Bombyx mori: one gene and its partners. The protein of the gene in region 1 interacts with the protein of each later gene in a biochemical or structural test. Links are inferred from orthologs where the notes say so. Each region holds a gene or a part of one and is shown on either strand. Other genes may lie near its edges.

What was found.
Region 2: the proteins of anaphase promoting complex subunit 11 (region 1) and ubiquitin-conjugating enzyme E2 S form a complex in vitro, tested with the Homo sapiens proteins (31 studies listed by BioGRID). The link is inferred for Bombyx mori from reciprocal best matches to the Homo sapiens genes ANAPC11 and UBE2S.
Region 3: the proteins of anaphase promoting complex subunit 11 (region 1) and ubiquitin-conjugating enzyme E2 C form a complex in vitro, tested with the Homo sapiens proteins (66 studies listed by BioGRID). The link is inferred for Bombyx mori from reciprocal best matches to the Homo sapiens genes ANAPC11 and UBE2C.

The regions. Positions count from the first base shown.
Region 1 is NC_085118.1:13,747,452-13,751,444, reverse strand, and holds the start of anaphase promoting complex subunit 11, read right to left. Parts: upstream 2,805-3,993; 5' UTR 2,623-2,804; coding exon 2,604-2,622; intron 2,594-2,603; exon of another isoform or gene 2,390-2,593; coding exon 2,154-2,389; 3' UTR 2,147-2,153; exon of another isoform or gene 1,106-2,146; intron 1-1,105. UniProt on the Homo sapiens protein: Together with the cullin protein ANAPC2, constitutes the catalytic component of the anaphase promoting complex/cyclosome (APC/C), a cell cycle-regulated E3 ubiquitin ligase that controls progression through mitosis and the G1 phase of the cell cycle.
Region 2 is NC_085116.1:176,352-180,593, reverse strand, and holds ubiquitin-conjugating enzyme E2 S, read right to left. Parts: upstream 2,923-4,242; 5' UTR 2,788-2,922; exon of another isoform or gene 2,665-2,787; 5' UTR 2,598-2,664; coding exon 2,450-2,597; intron 967-2,449; coding exon 497-966; 3' UTR 52-496; downstream 1-51. UniProt on the Homo sapiens protein: Accepts ubiquitin from the E1 complex and catalyzes its covalent attachment to other proteins. Catalyzes 'Lys-11'-linked polyubiquitination.
Region 3 is NC_085126.1:12,142,623-12,146,773, forward strand, and holds the start of ubiquitin-conjugating enzyme E2 C, read right to left. Parts: upstream 2,877-4,151; 5' UTR 2,632-2,876; coding exon 2,531-2,631; intron 618-2,530; coding exon 188-617; 3' UTR 1-187. UniProt on the Homo sapiens protein: Accepts ubiquitin from the E1 complex and catalyzes its covalent attachment to other proteins. In vitro catalyzes 'Lys-11'- and 'Lys-48'-linked polyubiquitination.

The DNA of each region.
Region 1 (3,993 bases):
CAAATTGCCTGCGACATATAGAGCCTCGTTATAGACAATGTTATTAGTAGCTTTACTTGGCGCATGCCTACATAATCAGATTATTGACATCACTAGCACATAAATGAACTACTTACTATTGGCCATGCGCGAAGCAGCTGGTAGATGTCTACCCCCGCGTGTATTATTTACGCGTCATTGCCAAACAAAAATTACGCGTTTGAAACTAAATGATATTTGATTAAGTAGGTGGTAGGACCTCTTGTGAGTCCGCGCGGGTAGGTACCACTACTTCGCCTATTTCTGCCATGAAACAGTAATGCGTTTCGGCTTGAAGGGTGGGGCAGCCGTTGTAACTATACTGAGACCTTAGAACTTATATCTCAACGTGGGTGGCGTATTTAGTTTGTAGATGTCTATGGGCTCCAATAACCACTTAACATCAGGTGGGCTGTGAGCTCGTCCACCCATCGAAGCAACAAGAAAAATTAAAAAAATTAAAAGGACGATTTCGGGGCAAAAAAAATTGCTTGCCATCAACGTATCCTGTCAGGACTTCAGCTTTGATCACATTTCTTTGAAGTGCTGTTAAGCAATATGTGGGACCTTTTTGGTTTATAAACACACCGATGTCGGCATGCAGCACACTAAGCTCCAGAGGGCCTAGAATGGCATCCACTCTCTTCTCGTGAGTTTTGCGAAAGGCAACTCGAAGAATAGACAGCAAGGTTCACAGTTAATTTTTGCTGAGAGATTAATGAGTTGTCACAACCCATTCTGTGACATGACTTCTAAGTCAGTTTTTACAGTACATCGGCTGCTCCACACATCAAATGTTTACATTTTACTGCTTCACAGCAAAAATATGTAGGATGGTGGTCACTATCAGTGCAGGCAGAAACGATGCCCAGTAAAAAAGTATATTATAAATACTGTATATAAAGATTATATTTTAAGAGTATCCCAGTATTTTGGTTTTTTTGGGAGAGATAATTTGCCCTTTGACCAAATTATTTGGTGCCAAAGGCAAATCATCCAGAATCCTTATAGAATATTTTTCCAGAGATTGTTTTCTATCACTACAGATGTTTTGTTAATAATCATTACCTAATATTTATAATTTCAGAGTGGTTTGAACAAATTCAGGTTGTGGGAGTCGAACTACACTGCATCTAATCCCTGCCCAAATACAAATAATGGAAAAGCAGTGAAAATTTTAGCAGTAGGCAGCGGCTTGGCTCTGCCCCTAGCATTGCTGAGGTCCATGGGCGACGGTAACCACTCACCATCAGGTGGGCCGTATGCCCACAGGGGCAATAAAAAAAAAAAGAACATAAGGTAGGCTAATTTCACCAACACATCTAAATTTATCAGTAGTTCATATCGGGGTGAAAGGCTATTTGATTTGAGCGACATTTTTGCAGCTTTATAGCAGAGCCATTTAAAGTTTAAAATTTGAAAAAAAAAACATAATAAAAAAAAAACTTCTTTAGCTTAATTAAAGTTCAATTAAAAAATTATACTGACATCAAATAAAATGCACCTTTAATTACAAAGATAAATATCGAATATTATCTCTTAAACCAAATAATAACCTTTCACCCCTCGTTATTATGATATTTTTGACAATCCCTTGTACAACAATTCACAGAAAACTTTAATAATATTTAATCTGTACTAGCATAGTAGCAACCTTTTGTCTTTAAAACTTAGTACTCTGCTGAATTATGAAAGGAAGGAAACTGTAGAACTCCGTAATCAAAGCTTCAAAGAAAGAAAAATGTTGTGATATTGTCAACTTCATTTATGTTAGATTTGCATTATTCTGACATTAATAATAAAAGTTGCTATTATGTGCAGATCAATCCCTATATTCTATACTACATACCACCTGATTAATAAGTTAAGGTGAGATTTAAACTTGTTATCACTAAACTAAAAATGACTAATAAGGATTTGTGACTCTATAATCATCGAACCATTTAACTACTTATTGAGTTTGAAAACACCAAACAATAAATTTTTCCAAATTATTCTAGCCTTATAGGTTGGTAAACAAAATATAGTTACAAAATGGGACAGCAGTGACACAATAAAGTGTGAGAATAAAAACCTATATTTATTTATTATTTAAACTATATTTTCTTAATTTATGGTATGTACTTACGAATATTTCACTTGTTATTGAACTTCCAGTCTTGTCTGCACATAGGACACTGCTGTTGAGGCTGAGAGTGTAGCCACTTTACGATACAGTGAATGTGGAAACAGTGAGAGCAAGCACCCCAAACTAGAGGGCAGTCGTCCCCAGGTAGTTTGCAGTCTGGACAGCAGCTATCAAATGGCATACGACAAATCCCACAATTGTCGTCGTTTGCTACCCACCTCCAAGTTGCAACCCCTGTCCAACCTAAAATGAATTATCTCGTTACTGTGAATATTTCAATTTCAATCGGTTCTTCCTTGTATGAGGAATTTTTAAGAATTGTGCTCTATGACAATAAGGCACTTAGCAAAAATTACTACTTAATTTACTTTAATGTCAGTGTGTTTTAAGTTGCAAAGAATAAAGTGTAAATTAACCAGGGAAAATAAACATTATGAAAAAAAGAGATTGTGCTTACTTTTTACAGTTACTTTCATAGCGCGATCATGAGGCTAAAATAGAAGTTTTAGATTTATTTAACCTTAAGATCCTTCATAATTAAATTAACGATTTTTATGATATAATATGTTGACTGAACAAATTTTTTTCAGTATTTATCATTTGCCTTTAAGTTTATGTGCTAATTTTAAAAATATAATGTTTATTTTATTAATCTAACCACTGAAGTAAAATCAAGTAAGATCAAATAAATTTGTTTTTAATGTCAGTCATATGTCAGTCTTATCGGCTACTTTATTTTTTGAACTGGAAAAACGAAGGTATCACACCATACAGCGTATTTTTTGTGTATTCTGTGAATTCTGTGTTTTGAAAAACCATAGAGCGAAATGAGATGAAGTTTATTAATTTGAGACAGTAAATCAATTAGGATGTTAATGAAATGAGATGAGATGTGATGAAATATAGTCTCAGTGGAGTGGTGGTTATGCACCAAGACTTTTTGGAAGCTTTTGAGAAGCTACGTCCAGCGAATTTGTTTCATTTTCCCACATTTGTGCACCTTCAGAGATACTAAACAGTTAATAATGTAATATAGTATAATAATAGTGTAATAATCACCGTTATTACACGTTTAAACATGAGCACTACTTTAACAAAATTAACAGAACTTAGCGCCTTGCGTTCCCGCTAAAAAAATTGTCAGATGTTAATTCGAAAATTTTCAAAGTGTAATTTTTATTATTTTATTTCAAAATCTGATAGGCACGGGGATCGATACATGAAACGAAGTCATAAACGAGTACCATATTTTGAAATGATGTTAAGTGAAATAAAAAAAAATTACCAAACTCAATTAAACTACTAAAAATCATTTGAAATAAAAAGAACTAAAAACTAAACAAGGTCTTTAATAAATCACTTTTAAACAATACTAAAAATAGAAATTACACATGTACTGGAACTTCAGTGAAAGAACTGCAAGCGGAAGCAACTTGAAATACGCAAGTACCGGTAAAATGGGGCGATTAGGGACAAATTCCATCTTTATGACCAATTTTAAGGTAGTTGTTGATGTATATAATGCTATATCAGGATCAAAATGATTGAGTCTTGGGAGCATCTTTGTTGTCCAATTTAAAACTATGCAACTAGCATTCCAGTTTAAGCAAAAAAAGCAAAAATAGGTGTAATCCCTATTTACCCGGAAATTGCGGTTAATTGGGACGAAATGAGAAATTTGCTAGGGTGGGCACTACTTGGTTTTAATTTATTTATTTAGTTGCACCAACAAAGTGATCATCAATAAAAAACATTAAAAAACGGACACTCTGAACAAATAATAAATATTTTATTATGTATTACTTAGACATTTTTGTCCACCTTGAGATTTCATTGTTCTTATTACA
Region 2 (4,242 bases), on another chromosome or scaffold:
CATAAAATTTGGTGTTTTTACTGTTTGAATAATTATGAATTAAAACACGCATTTTTGTACGCACAGTTATTAATATATTATTCTATTTTAATTCAATACAATATTACAAATCTAGGAATTAAATCTATGGAAACGTATTTTAATAGCGATATTGTGAATTTATATTCCGAGCGTCACGTGCAGCAGAGCGCTCTGTCCAGCCGCGCCACTCGCAGCTCAGCTCCAGCCGCACGGAGGATTCTAACTCAATTAACTTGGGGTAAGATTTTATTTAGTGACTCGACGTTCGCGAGGGAAGAGCTTCGGGAAGGAGATGGGGGAAGGGCAGCAGACTGTCCAGCGCACACTCAACGCAAGGATTTCAGTTTTTGCAGATACACATTAAATTATTAAAAAGTTCACCTACTACTTAAAGTTCAATTTTGCAAATATCTTAAAGTTCGCTCGTGTTGGACGAGTCCATTTGCGTGGTCTGATCGTTTGATCTCGGGACGGCTCATAACCGCTTCAGGATGCGGCGCTTGTCTGCGCGGGGGGGAGGCGCGGGGCGGCGCTTGGCGGGCGGCGCGGGCGCGTGCGCGGGCGCGGCGGCGGGCGCGTGCGCGGGCGCGGCGGCGGGCGCGGGGGCGGGGGCGCGGCTGCGAGTCGCGTGGATGTCGGTGAGCAGCTTGGCGCGCGCGAAGTAGTCGTCGTAGCGGTCGCGCAGTAGGGCGGCGGCCTCCGCGTTGAGTGCCGAGTCAGGGTTGGGCGCGATGAGCAGACAGCGCAGAGCGAGGAGCGCGTGCCGGAGCCCGAGCTCGGGGCGCCAGTCGCGTGCGAGCGTGTTGACGCAGACCTCGCCAGTCTCGGCGGCGACGTTGGGGTGGAAGACGCGGGTGACGAAGTATGCCCGCGGTGCGCTGGCGGGGAACTCGCGTCCGAGCACGAGTCGCACGCGGAACACGCCCCCTTCATACGGCGTCTCCGCTGAAATCATCAACTTTTGCATTAATTTAGTTGATACCCTTGAATCTGGTTTTTACTGGTGGTAGGACCTTATGTGAGTTCGCACGGGTAGATACCACCACCGCGCCTGTTTCTGCCGTGAAGCAGTAATGCGTTTTGACTTGAAGGGTGGGGCAGCCATTGTAACTATACTGAGACCTTACAACTTATATCTCAAGGTGGGTGGCGCATTTACATTGTAAATGTCTATGGGCTCCAGTAACTACTTAACACCAGGTGGGCTGTGAGCTCGTCCATGCATCAAAGCAATAAAAAAAATATTAAACCTCTGGCCATACTAAAATCTCATTTTACTTAACACAGCTTACAGCTTACAGCTTTAGATATAACAACTATATACAAAAATGCTCAAAAATATTTTGACACATTAATTCAATTAGAAAAAAAAAAGCATAAAAATCATACACATAAAAAAATGTGTATATGTATAATTTTTCCCTACTTATTGGCTAGTATCCTGTGGAGATATTCCAGCTTCTCGTGAACAGATAGGCGAGCTCACAGGCTCAACCTGAGAGAATTTGCTAGCACTAGACCTAGCAAGAACAGTGCTTTGAAACATTTACCACCAGATCAGAATTGCGACCTACTGAGAAGATCCAGCAAGATACTCAGTGGGCTGTGTATGGGTTAGTCGTAATCAACCGAGGAGGACTGGTGCTTGAGAGGCCTAAAAACACCTGACTTTCTCATTTTCTCTATCATTCTATAACTGCACAACTACTAAATATGTCGTCCTAAAACTAAACTTCTTTGGGATGATTTTGTTTTTCTCCAATAAAGGTAAGATGTAACATGACAACAGCTTTTTGAAAACTTTGAACATAACTGGCAGTGGTATATATTGAGAATTGGTTCACCTATCTGTGGCTTATATTGTGTGGTGTTCATTATGAAGGTATTTATTTATTGTTTAGTTTTAAAGAAAGTCCCATATGCAAAAAGAACACATCATACATTTCTTAAAATTATGACTTTTAGATAGTGTCAGATTCTCCTATTCCTCATCTCTTCAGAGGTCTAAATTATAAGTTAAACAAAGTTCTGACAATGTAATATCTGCAGCTGTTAATATATCTTTAGAAAGACCATGACTTCAAAGGACTCCATAATTATTGAATATCTAAAAGACGGGAGATGCAGATTGAAAAAAAATCATGTCCAAATTTTCCATACAAAATTGAGACATTGCAAGATATAAGTAATGACATTCAAAACAAAATAAATATCAAGCAGATAGCAAAAAATCGGTATAAATTGTAACTGTGACGTTGAATATTGAGATGTACTTCAATGTAACAAATCCAGACATTGCCATTGGACCATTTACCTTTCCACCTCTGATTTATTACATGACATGAGAAAGTAGATATGCCTTTTGTTTAACGAAATGTCACACCGGTTCTGGAGGTGAGGGCAGTATCATATTTGAATAGATTCTTACCGGGACCATCGATAAGCGCGACTATGTCAGATATGTCGTCGTCTCGCAGCTGCAGTTTGATGCCCGGCGGAGGATTAGCCGCCAGCTGTCGGAGTTCGCGTGCCACGCCACGCAACGCTTGAGGACATACGTTTTCCACGTTCGACATGCTTCTGCTTCTCCTTCTTTATGTCAGGCGCTCATAGCATTTGCTTGCGTTATTATCACCTTTTACACTAAAACGAAATGTCACTAAGTTTTTAGAATTTTTCTATTTGTTTTGAGAAGGAATTTCGAAATATTAATCTCTTTCTACAACAGAGCATGCAATTTTTATTATTCAGAAAAATGTTCACTACTTATCAAATTTGATTTCGAGTTGATCTATCAAAATTTTCAAAATTCAAAACATAAAACTGCATTTTTTTTATTAGCCTGCCCAATTAGGCAAAGGTAGCTTTAACTATTCCTATAACATTCATTCCACAATGCGCTAAAATTTTTAATGGGTCGTCACACTGTGTTCTTAATTAAAACTAAATATTTACGTATAAAATTCCATATATTAAATCACAGATGTGATGCTAATTTATCTTACTGTTCCTTACTACCACATACTATAGAGATATTATGACATAAGTGAAAGGTGCTATAAATACTAAGCTACCTATGTTCAATAATCTTGACCGATCTTACTTTTTGTTACTATATCTTTGGGGAATATTTTTATTTATTTATTTATCTAATTTGCAAGTTCGCAAAATTGGGAAATAAATTAAAAATCGCTGATTTGTACTAATTATCTACATGAACATTTTATAAATCGAAACTGGCAACAATTAATTGTTTCATCGACTTTTTAGAGAGAGGGCAAAATATGTGAATTGATTTATTTTGTTAATTTATCGTTCATTCAGATGTAATGGTCCTTAACTTTCCTAATGGTGGCTTACTTATGATTTAATATCAGTTGAAGTACATGTAGAAATGCGTGAAATGAAACAAAATCGCTAAACGTAGATTCGCGGCAACTTCCAAAAACTCCATTGAGCTCAGTAAATTCTGAAAGGTGATTTCAATTCATCTCAATGGACACTTAAGGGTGTTATATCTCACTTCAATTAATATTTTTCATTCGCTCACTTCCTTTATAATTATATTCCTTAATCATGTTTATTTTCTATTATCTAATACTAGCGACCCGCCCTCGCTTCGCTTCGGAAACATTAAAACACACATGAAACCAAAAAAATAAATAAAAAATAAAATAAAAAAGTAGCCTATGTTCATCAGGGACAATGTCGGCTTCTAATGGAAAAAGAATTTTTCAAATCGGTCCAGTAGTTTCGGAGCCTATTCGAAACAAACAAACAAACAAATCTTTCCTCTTTATAATATTAGTATAGATTTTCTTCGACTTCACGTGTGGTAGACACATTTGAAACTCAACGTCTTTTCACAATTTTTTTTTTATTGTAGTTTTATTATTTCCGGCGCTACGTACAGGTAATTTACAGTTGTAGTTCTCATGGATGACTTAGTCTTCTCTTAGACGTTAGAAGTAATCGTTAGTGTTCGTGATTAAGTCATAAAGTACGGTAGTCTAATTATTGCCAGAGTATGTTACATTTAACTTTTAGCAAAATAAATTTTAATATGACTTTTCTAACAAACCATTTGGTCGTGTGGGTATTTTATTTGTTCAGAGGCGAATCCAACAAACTCAAAAGTACATTCCTTATCTAGGAACGTCCACATCAGAGTTTTGTTTTGTGCACGGGGGTATTAACAGGTCTCCTTAATTTTGTGTCCCT
Region 3 (4,151 bases), on another chromosome or scaffold:
AGTGTATTTTACAAATTTTAATATAAATTACAAAGTATGGTCTAAAATTAAGTTTTTTTGCAAGACTGCAGTGTCTAAGCAGACAAAACCTGAGCCCAACCAACCCTCAACAGTCACAATCTGAAATATCCACGACACAAAAATATTACAACGAAAAATAAAACACACTTATAATCTCTAAAACAGACTATGAGTCTTTATGTTTATTGTAAAATTCATCTAAATATTTTTTATAGGCAGCTTGGTTCGGCCATAGATATGATGCTTGCTGGTTTAAAGGGCTTTGTGTATTTGGTTCTGCTAAAAGACTTTGGATTGACAACAATACTGTACGTACATCATATAAAGCCGTCCACTTATCTTTTAAAATATCTAAACATATTAAACCACACGTGTCAACATTTGGATGAAAACACGGAGTCATAAATTTGACAACAGGTGGTGCGTACGGGTATGAATTTGGAAATTCAAGTGATAATTTGTATTTGTGGCCTGCGTATACAGTTTCTAAAGGTCCATTGATGGTCCCGATCCATTTGAAGAGGTTTTCACTTTCAGGGAATGCTGATATTCCTTTATCACTGCACCGCATTAGCTCCATTAGCTCTTTCTGGAGTCTATTAAAAAGAAATATAAAATGAGTTGAATTATGCAAATTATAACACAAAAGTAATGGCATATAGTGTTTTTTTTAAGTGCATTAATCTAATAGCAGGTTTATTAATTAAGTAGTGAGTCTTTGAAACATTTCTAATGAAATGTTAGTTGACCAGTAATGACATAAAATTTCTGTTTTTGCAGAATTATTGTTTGGTAAATAGGATGCTGCCATATGTGGAATGACTGATGTTGTAGTGTGAGTGTAAATTTTATATCACTTGCAATATTTTCTGGGTGGAGGTATATTCATTCACATGGTAGTAATTGTTCTAGAGAAGTAATTCTATATAAACAATTTACATTTAAGAATCTCACAAATTAGAAAGCGTCTAAAGGTCTAAGGCTCTTGATGCTATTTAATGTAGAAAAGGTGACTAATTAACAAACCTTTTTAAAAAGTTTACTTATTCCTACCTACTGAACATTAATTATTGTAAAATTATCGCTTTAACCAATGAGAATGCCTATACCTGCTAAAAACTGTGCTTTTAAATTTACCACATTATGTAAAGTGTAATAGTTTTATTTGGTTTTTACTTTTTCGGCGCTTTTGTATTACATGCACTAAATGATCATTTACATAATGTGCTTAAAACAGCCCAAACCAACAATAATGCAAGTGAACAGAATAATCGAGACTTTTTCGTGGGAAAAAAACCGTTAGACACAAATCGCTACTTCGATACTAAGGACCAAAATATATTGTATTTAGACATGTGTAAGTAATGCGAGTGATATTACTCGGGTAATATTACTCTACGATGTAATGCAACATCACACATTACGCGAAGGAAACAAACATCACACTATCACCCAACATGTTTCTTTCTTTGTCGTGTAATACACGAACGGAACCGAGCGAGCGAGACAGACCGATCGACGCAAAATAAATGAGCAAGCGACACGGAATTATTCCTAGTGATTTTGAACCATATGTCCTGGCCGCTAGGTACATTTTTATACCTATGGTACGTCTGAATTTTAATATAGGTATTTGTGTTTATATTTTTCATGCGGCCAGCCGGTAGCTCCCCGCAAGTACTTACTTAATTTTTTATTCGCAACTTTTGTAAAATCGCTAGTCGCTCGTAATTGTTTAGTAATATTTCATATTAATTTTTGTGTTTGATTTGAATTACTTAAGCACTTGTTTGAAGATAGTTTTATTATTTGTTTTAATGCGTGTTTAATAAGTGAAAGAAATAACGGCGTTTAGACGTACGTTCATTTAGATGAAAGTACAGTCCTCCTTGGATTTTTGAGGATATTTTTGAGGATATCGCACCGAAACAATGCATCTACTGCTCTCGTATATTAACATTATTGTCGAGCTCAATTTGCAGTCTAAGTCGCCATATGAAATCCGTTCATCCCACAATAAATTATATTAAGTAAAAAATAAAATTATTATATTATTAAGTAAGTCAATCTGTCAAGTAATATAACAGTGTATTACAATACAAAGTTCATACTTTGTATTGTAATACACTATTGTAATGACACACCCGAATCATTACCTAAGTGATGTGTTTATACACATCACTTAGGTAATGATTGATGAAAACATTACACATCACTCTTAACATTACTCGGTGCGTTCAATAGATACTGTGACGACGAATACATTGTATCTATACACCCGAATCATTACCTAAGTGATGTGTTTATACACATCACTTTGAACGCACCGAGTAATGTTAAGAGTGATGTGTAATGTTTTCGAGTAATATCACCTATCTGTAAAAGTGATGTCATATCACATTACATTGGGAAGTGATGTTTTGCGCAAGTCTAATTGTATTGTATGTTGTCTACGTGGGTGTTTGCCGTGGTATTACGAAAAAGTTGTGGTAAAAATAATAAAACTCACCGTTTGCTCACAGCATGATTGTCTTTTAGTTTAATCGTGTCTTCACTCTGCTTAGCTGGGTTCGAAGACGACGCGTAATGTGGATTGATGTTTTGAGCCATAATATTTTAAGGAAATCAAATGAACACTTTCTTAAAATAGCAAGGGACACCAATTTTTCAGTTAATCGTCGTCAACTTCCTGTTGAATTTGAAATAGCTACGATTTTATTGGTAATCTCGTTATTTGACAGTGCAATGTAATGGCGGCCTTTGTTTGATTGACGTATTAAAAAGCGCCATCTACACGGTCAATTGAAAAAATAATTTAATGCTGATTTACACTAATCTCGAATATGTTAGAAGGTGGTCTGAAATAAACCATAATAAATATGTTAAATAGGTCAAATCAAGATAAATAACTGAACATTATAGTTTTAAACATAAGATTATCCGAATATACTATAACATGTGGATAAAATAATTTCATGTCACAAATAATTTCAAAATGATAATCGCTTTCAAAATTTAGATTTCATTTACCCGCTTTTTTAAATTTGGCCTAGTACTTTTTATGTGACGATGAAATTTTAAACGTATTAATTTTTGCCTAATACAATGTGCCCGATAAAGTTAAAAAATTGTTTGCGCATTTTAAATGTAATAGTACCTGTATGCTATTTTAAATAGGATTACTAGAATAAAAGAGGCGATTAGGTAGGTATTGATTTTTTTAGTTCTGTTTGTTTGTTCTGTTTAAGTTTAGATAAATATGTCCAAATGAAAAATTAAGATTAGCCAGAGTAATATTCGATTAGTTTACTAGACAATTTCATTTTGAAACATTTTATTATTTCATCTTATTAATTACATATCTCATTTCATTTTATCATTACCTAGTCTTCGTAATTACTGGTACGTAGAGAGTGAGCCTGCACGGATAGCTACCTGCTATTTGAGTCATGATAATCCCTAGCTATTTAAGTCATGATGTGTCTTGGTTTGAAATGGGATAGCAACTCTACAACACAATTGTAAGTATTCCAAGCTGGGTAGAGTGGCATTCACGTCGGGTGCTTATGGGTTTTGAGTGAGCTGTGAATTCCTCCAACTATAAAGTACAAAAATATCTGTAGTGGAGGCGGTAATCCGAACAACATGGCGCGTTTTTGTTTATTCATATTTTGGTGGGAAAGTGAGTTTCTACTTCAAAGTGAAGGAGCTACTCAAAGCCCATGGCTACAGCTAGACTTAAATTATACTAACTTCAGTTAATGGTTAGCTTGAGCGACGACTAACCAACGAATAAATGTAAACTTATAATTAGATTAGTATTTATTAACTATATTATTATACAAATCTCTATATCTTTCGCTTTCTATGTTTAAAAATTAACACATTGTCTTAATATAAATAATGGCAATTAACTGTAGATGCTCGTTGAGCTCGTCGAAGAGTTCGGCATGAGATTTAGGTGGCCTATAACTTCAGGCCGCGGCTGTGCCGAGTTTCAAGCATAATATTCTCAGGGGTTTGCGAATCTGATCGTGTAGTAGACACTGGCGACTGTCACCACCTTGCTGTTACGCTCGTCTTCATTGCAGGCTAAAATATAATAATTGCATGAGACTTTAAAGACTTCT